Xenopus tropicalis: one gene and its partner. The protein of the gene in region 1 purifies or fractionates together with the protein of each later gene. This does not show direct contact. Links are inferred from orthologs where the notes say so. Each region holds a gene or a part of one and is shown on either strand. Other genes may lie near its edges.

Region 1 (4,134 bases):
CTCCAATAAGGATTAATTACACCTAAGTTAGGATCAAGTACGAGGTAGTGTTTTATTATTACAGAGAAAAAGGAAACAATTTTTAAAAATTAGAATTATTTGCTTATAATGGAGTCTATGGGAGATGGCCTTTCTGTAATTTGGAACTTTCTGGATAACGGGTTTCTGGATAAGTGATCCCATACCTGTACCATGAAACTCAATCCCCTATGTAAGCACAAAGAACGAATACATTTTCATATTTACTTAAGAAAAATCTTAAATTAGAATACTTTTAAATAAATACTGTATGCCAAAAATAAATACACAAAGAAATCAAATAAATACATAAAAGTTTTGTATTTAGGCCTTGTATTTATCCCATTACCACTTTCTTGCAGATAATTGATTTACACGCAAGCAGGGAGCCAGAACATACTACTTCAGACACACGTGACATTGAGTGTGGCTACATGGGATTAAATATTTCAGCACTCAGACTCACACTCATTTTATCCACAGGTTAGAAACTAGCATAATCGCACAACAACCTAGCCTGGTCCAAAACACTACCAACACCTTTATTTATCAGGCTCGGAAAGAAAGGTGGCCATACACGCACCGATAATATCGTACAAAACCTCGTTTCGTACGATATTCGGTGCGTGTATGGTATGTCGGCGAGTCGACCGATATCGCAGGAAGCTGCTGATATCGGCCGACTCGCCGATCAGACCAGTTTGAAAATTTTGATCGGGCGCCATAGAAGGCGCCTGACCAAAATCTCCCTTCAGCGCTGAATCGGCAGAAGGAGGTAGAAATCCTATTGTTTCTACCCTCCTTACCTGCCGATTCAGCCCTGAATGGTGTGTGGCGGATCTGACGATGTTTCGTGCGACCATCGTCAGATCGCCACGTGTATAGCCAGCTGAAGTCATGAACAGTCACACATAAACATTCTGCTTCACAAAAGTCAATGGCTGCGTTTTAACCAATTCAAGAAACAAAAAAAACCTAAATTTACATTTAAGCACACACTTTCTTCCAGCAGTGGAATGGTTAAAATGTTTTCCCTTTTTTTTTTTTACCTAAAGAGTGTTAAGGGACAGTAACACACACACACTTTTGTACAGACTATAGGTTGATTTAAGAGATAGATGTATTACAGTTTTAGCTTTAATATCCAAAAATATATACACAAAAATTAGATATTACAGAAGGGTATACAAATATAAAAGCTACAAACAAACCAAATAAAGAAACCTCTATCTTCTTAAAAAAAATAATACCAGGGAGGAAGTCCCTTTAAGACTACTAATCAAAGAATGTGACAGCTTTGTCTTTTAACATTCAGACTGGTTAGTTCCAGTATCTGTTTCCCAGTGTTTCGTTGTGCCAGTTACCCTTTTACTGCTACAGCACTACTGCTCTGACATACGACAGGGATACAGTGCTTTATAATGGAGATGAATATCATTAATATACACATGACTAAGTTCCATGGATGGTGCATTGACATATTGTTCTCCTGTGAGTACAGTTGCTGCTTTCATGTCTGCTTATTGTATATAGTGAGATAGGAGAACACAGCAAGAGTTGTGTGTAGGGTACATAATAAGGTGGTGCCCTACCCTTACAACTCCCAGCATGCCTACAGTCTTCGACTAATGGGACTGCTGGACTGTATATACCGAAAGAATCAATTGTAACTCAATATATGTTCTTTAGCCATTTGTTCTACTCCAAGAGGCCCCTATGATGCCTTTATTCCCAAAATGAAAACAAGTCCAGTAGTGAGCCCTCACAACTATAATCGGGCTTTCCCTATATTTAAAACTCACGATGACAGCATTAATATTAAAAGGATGTGTAACCATTATGGGGCCACGGCTACTAGCAGTTATAGCGCTGTTAGAGCACACTTCCGAAGCTAATGCTTGGGGTATAAAGCCATATAAACTTCCTTTCAGTAGAAGCTACGGGGAGAGAAAGGAGCCATTCAGTAAAGCACAACAATATCAAATACTCACAAAACCAAATTAAATCCTTCAAAGCACGAAGCAGTCTGAGGAAAACAAACACATGTGCAACCATAGAGCCGGGCAGCAGCCAGACAGGCGACGCGCATTTCCTTCTATATTCAGCTTTTGCCACCGCTGCCACCTGGTGGGCGGAGGGCCATACAAGTTTGCTGGTTGAAGAGAAACGTAGCACTGGGCACTTACAAACAGAACCGCTGGAAAGTCATATTTATAGCGACAGCGGCTTGTGGGGAATAAAAGGGAGGGAGCCTAAGATCATATACAGTAAGGGCGTCAGAAGCCCAATAAATAGACCGATTGTCAGAGCAGCAAGCAGAATAATAGGCATAGTAACAGTAACAATTTTTATTAAAAAAAATGAAAACTACACCCTCCAAAAGTTACCCATGTCCAGCTGCATTTTACTTAATTACCTCCCATTTAGCCAAAAAGCCCCCAACAAAACTCCACACCATGCTATGGGTACATTTTTGAAGAATGGTGATACGGCGACTAGCCCCCGACGTCTCTCCCCACAGGATATCCGGCTGTAACCCGGAAGTCCAGTCATCTTAGTGCAGAAAAGAAATTTTTGCTGTTGGTAAGTTCTCCCTCTTCTCATGTTCTTTTCAGTGGCTGGAAAAGGGAAAGGAAATGCTGGGTGAGAGGTATGCGAAGGGGAAGGGGCTTTGTGAGAGACACGCTGAGGGAATGGCTGGCTGGGGGCGGAAGACAGACTGAGGAATGGCTGGGGAACTGAAAGAGAAACGCTGGGTGAGAGGTATGCGAAAGGGACTTTGCGAGAGACACGCTGAGAGGAGGGGAAGGCTCTGTAAGAGGAATGCTGATGGGGGCGAGAAATTGATAGAAATGATAAGAAGAGGCTAAAGGGTGTGTGGGGAAAGCTGATTGAGGAGAAAGTCATTGTGAAGGAGAACAGTGTGGGGAAGCCTGACTGAGGGGGCATTACAGGGGAAAGACTGTGTGAAGGGGAACAGTGTGGGGAAGCCTGACTGAGGGGGGCATTACAGGGAAAGTCATTGTGAAGGGGAACAGTGTGGGGAAGCCTGACTGAGGGGGGCATTACAGGGAAAGTCATTGTGAAGGGGAACAGTGTGGGGAAGCCTGACTGAGGGGGCATTACAGGGGAAAGGCTGTGTGAAGGGGAACAGTGTGGGGAAGCCTGACTGAGGGGGCCATTACAGGGGAAAGACTGTGTGAAGGGGAATAGTGTGGGGAAGCCTGACTGAGGGGGCATTACATGGAAAGTCATTGTGAAGGGGAACAGTGTGGGGAAGCCTGACTGAGGGGGCATTACAGGGAAAGTCATTGTGAAGGGGAACAGTGTGGGGAAGCCTGACTGAGGGGGCATTACAGGGGAAAGGCTGTGTGAAGGAGAACAGTGTGGGGAAGCCTGACTGAGGGGGCCATTACAGGGGAAAGACTGTGTGAAGGGGAATAGTGTGGGGAAGCCTGACTGAGGGGGCATTACATGGAAAGTCATTGTGAAGGGGAACAGTGTGGGGAAGCCTGACTGAGGGGGCATTACAGGGAAAGTCATTGTGAAGGGGAACAGTGTGGGGAAGCCTGACTGAGGGGGCATTACAGGGGAAAGGCTGTGTAAAGGATGACAGTGTTGGGAAGCCTGACTGAGGGGGGCATTACAGGGGAAAGGCTGTGTGAAGGGAAACAGTCTGGGGAAGCCTGACTGAGGGGGCATTACAGGGGAAAGGCTGTGTGAAGGGGAACAGTGTTGGGAAGCCTGACTGAGGGGGGCATTACAGGGGAAAGGCTGTGTGAAGGGAAACAGTCTGGGGAAGCCTAGCTGAGGGGGCCATTGCAGGGGAAAGGCTGTGTGAAGGGGAACAGTGTTGTGAAGCCTGATTGACGGAAAAGCAGCATCAGCAGTGGGAGAGGACGTGGAGAGGAGCACTGTACAGGGCAGGACTGCTGAGCCCCACTGCAGGTCACGAACAGGGAAAGAGAAAGGAGCAGCCACCTGATCCATACCAGTGACTCTTGATACGCCTATACTCTGTGAATGTATTGGAAAGTTTTATCTGTATTAAAGTAATTAAGCTTTTACACGTATGCATTTCTCCCACATTAAGTGCACAGAAGGGGAAGGGAAATG
Region 2 (3,600 bases), on another chromosome or scaffold:
TAATTTATGAGCGAAACTTACCACAGGCCAATTATAAATACAGCGACACAAACAGCAGATCAGTACTGGGAGGAAGGAACCATTTGGGCATATACCACACACTTATACATGCGGTTACTCCGTTCCCAAGTTACTCTGCGGATGTACATCTTATTACTATACCACCTACTTACTTATTAGCACCCATACTGCTCCATCTAGTGGCGAACGTGCACTTAAACTGCTGCAACGAAGCAGGCAAAGGGCACAGATTATTATAATATATTAAATTACAACACAATTTCTGCCTATTATTTTAACTGGAAAAAAAAAATCCATGTTTTTTTTGTAACTAATTTCAGCTTCCAACTTCCTGGTTCTTGCGAGCACTTTTGGGAGGAAAAAAGTAGTTCATTAGAGCACGGGGGAACAGATTACCCATCAGCGTATCTGTTCGACAGACACAACAAACTGTGGGAGGGGGTTGTTTATACATAACTTACTATCTCCATGAAACGGCAAGTCACTAGTTAGCATTTACCATATATCCCCCGGGAGAGACTGAATTTTTGTATAAGGTCTAGGCTTAATTTAAAAGAACACTGACATGGGAAAACATGTTTGTTACAAAACCCATCAGTTAATAGAGCAGAATCCTGCATTGTAATCTGTTTTTCCCATGGGGCTAGCCATATTCTTCATTTCCCAGGGTACCACAGCCATGTGACCTGTGCTCTGATAAACTTCACTCACACTTTACTGCTGTGCTGCAAGTTGGAGTGATACCACCCCCCCCTCACCCCCAGCAGCCAATCAGCAGAACAATGGGAAGGGAGCAAGATAGCAGCTCCCAGTAGGTATCAGAATAGCACTCAATAGTAAGAAATCCAAGTCCGGCTTGGGACTCCTCCAGTTACATGGGAGTAGGAGAAACAATAGGTTAGCTGAAAGTAGTTCTAATGTGTAGCACTTGCTCCTTCTGAAAGCTCAGACTCAGGCACACTTTACTGCTGCGCTGCAAGTTGGAGTGATACCCCCCCCTCACCCCCAGCAGCCAATCAGCAGAACAATGGGAAGGGAGCAAGATAGCAGCTCCCAGTAGGTATCAGAATAGCACTAAATAGTAAGAAATCCAAGTCCGGCTTGGGACTCCTCCAGTTACATGGGAGTAGGAGAAACAATAGGTTAGCTGAAAGCAGTTCTAATGTGTAGCGCTGGCTGAAAGCTCAGACTCAGGCACAATGCACTGAGATGGCGCCTACACACCAATATTACAGCTACAAATACATTTGTTGGTTCAAGAATAAAAGGTTAAATGGCAGAGGGAATTATTTGCTGTGTAACAGTGTCATTTAATAAATAAAAAGTTCCCCATAAATATCATGACACAATCCCTTTAAGCCCTATAGCCAACATTGCCACAGACCCCCTTGTGTGACTGACATGTTTAGGAAGCCAGGCTATCACATGATAACCGAAAGGCACCTTGGGAAATGCGCAAGCTTAGTAAAGAGCCACAGTGCAGGGTGGAGCAAGATGGCGGCGGCTGCTGCTTCGAACGGCAGCGGGATGGAGGTGGACGTCGCCGGTGAGTATGTAAAGCGCTTGGCTATTGCAAAATGCAGCAGGAGCAAAACAGTTCGCTCTCATATGGAGTTTATGAAAATACACAGGAAGACACCGGCTTTACGCTGAAATCGTTACAGTGAAGCCTATAGGTCTCCATTGGATGCGGGCTTGCCTGTATAGCGTGTGGACTGGTTGTCCGGATAAGGAGGAAATGAGTGGCGCAGCGCCATTGGCTGTGCCAAACGTCAATCAATGGAAACAGGCGCGCAGTAACGTGAAGCGCTGAAGTGAAGCTTTATGTGTGTGAGGGAACAACATGGCTTCTTGGGAGTATTCACATAAATACAGACTTTGAGTTGTGACAGGAAAATCATGTGTAACCAAAATAATGACTGAACTATTACATGCTTCCCTGTGTATTACAGTCTGGCTGTATTTCTGCCAGGGCCAAACATGGCTGCCCAAAGGGCAAAGCCTTCTGCTCTGTCAGAGAAAACACCTGAGGGCAGATACTGTTTGTTTAACTATTCACTGGTAATATGAGCCAGACCTGTCACTTTATGAGGAGAAAAGAGTGACCATAGCTGGTCCAAAACAAATGTAACAATATCTTATAGGTATAGGACCCATTATCCAGAATGCTCAGGACCTGGGGTTTTCTGGATAAGGGGTCTTTCCGTAATTTGGATCTCCTACGTTAAGTCTATTAAAAAATAATTTAAATAAACCCAATAGGATTGTTTTGGCTCCAATAAGGGGTAATTATATCTTAGTTGGGATCAAGTACAGGTACTGTTTTATTATTACAGAGAAAAGGGAATCATTTAACCATTAAATAAACCCAATAGGGCTGTTCTGCCCCAATAAGGGGTAATTATATCTTAGTTGGGATCAAGTACAGGTACTGTTTTATTATTACAGAGAAAAGGGAATCATTTAACCATTAAATAAACCCAATAGGGCTGTTCTGCCCCAATAAGGGGTAATTATATCTTAGTTGGGATCAAGTACAGGTACTGTTTTATTATTACAGAGAAAAGGGAATCATTTAACCATGAAATAAACCCAATAGGGCTGTTCTGCCCCAATAAGGGGTAATTATATCTTAGTTGGGATCAAGTACAGGTACTGTTTTATTATTACAGAGAAAAGAGAATCATTTTCAAAAATGTGAATTCTTTTATTAAAATGGAGTCTATAGAAGATGGCCTTTCCCTAATTCGGAACTTTCTGTACTAGGAAAGCAGCATTAAATGTGTAGAATATGATAAATGCCCACAGTATAGAAGGTAGCTTTTTTTGATATTATTGTACAAACTTCCCCTATGTATTTTTTTTACTAGAACTGTTATTGAACATTTTGTCGTTTCTTTCCTAGCCTTCCCCACTGTCATGGCGCAGGGGGTAACTGGCAGCGTGACAGTTGCGCTCCATCCCCTCGTCATCTTGAACATCTCCGATCACTGGATACGCATGAGATCCCAGGAGGGGCGCCCGGTGCAGGGTAATGTGCCACTATCCCTTCCTCTCATTTCTTCCTATGGATCCTGAGGCTTCACCCACTTACTGACCCCCCTTCCCTCTCCCACCCACAGTTATCGGAGCCCTAATCGGGAAGCAGGAGGGCAGAAACATTGAGGTGATGAACTCGTTTGAGCTGCTTTCTCAGATTAACGAAGAAAAGATCACCATTAATAAAGAGTACTATTACACCAAGGAAGAGCAATGTAAGTGCTTATGTGCCACTAGGGGCACGTACATGTTATAATTCCCACACACAATATGGAAATGGTCATCTTTTAATCACTATATAGCACCTAAAAATGTTGGGCTTAGTACAGGGGAATCCCTATGCTGCCATAGTTTTATGGTATCTCTCTGTACAGGCTATGAGCAAACTTAGGGGGCTGTTCCTGCTGAATTGTGCTTAGTACAGGGGAATCCCTATGTGCCATAGTTTTATGGTATCTCTCTGTACAGGCTATGAGCAAACTTAGGGGGCTGTTCCTGCTGAATTGTGCTTAGTACAGGGGAATCCCTATGCTGCCATAG

What was found.
Region 2: the proteins of dcaf4 (region 1) and cops6 purify together in Homo sapiens (affinity purification with mass spectrometry; 4 studies listed by BioGRID and IntAct, counting the BioPlex papers as one, with this or other methods). This does not show direct contact. The link is inferred for Xenopus tropicalis from reciprocal best matches to the Homo sapiens genes DCAF4 and COPS6.

The regions. Positions count from the first base shown.
Region 1 is NC_030684.2:106,297,409-106,301,542, forward strand, and holds the start of dcaf4 (DDB1- and CUL4-associated factor 4), read right to left. Parts: upstream 3,007-4,134; 5' UTR 2,435-3,006; intron 2,416-2,434; exon of another isoform or gene 2,010-2,415; intron 1-2,009. UniProt on the Homo sapiens protein: May function as a substrate receptor for CUL4-DDB1 E3 ubiquitin-protein ligase complex.
Region 2 is NC_030679.2:144,242,828-144,246,427, reverse strand, and holds the start of cops6 (COP9 signalosome complex subunit 6), read left to right. Parts: upstream 1-1,494; 5' UTR 1,495-1,515; coding exon 1,516-1,567; intron 1,568-1,835; exon of another isoform or gene 1,836-1,922; intron 1,923-2,926; coding exon 2,927-3,052; intron 3,053-3,143; coding exon 3,144-3,275; intron 3,276-3,600. UniProt on the Homo sapiens protein: Component of the COP9 signalosome complex (CSN), a complex involved in various cellular and developmental processes.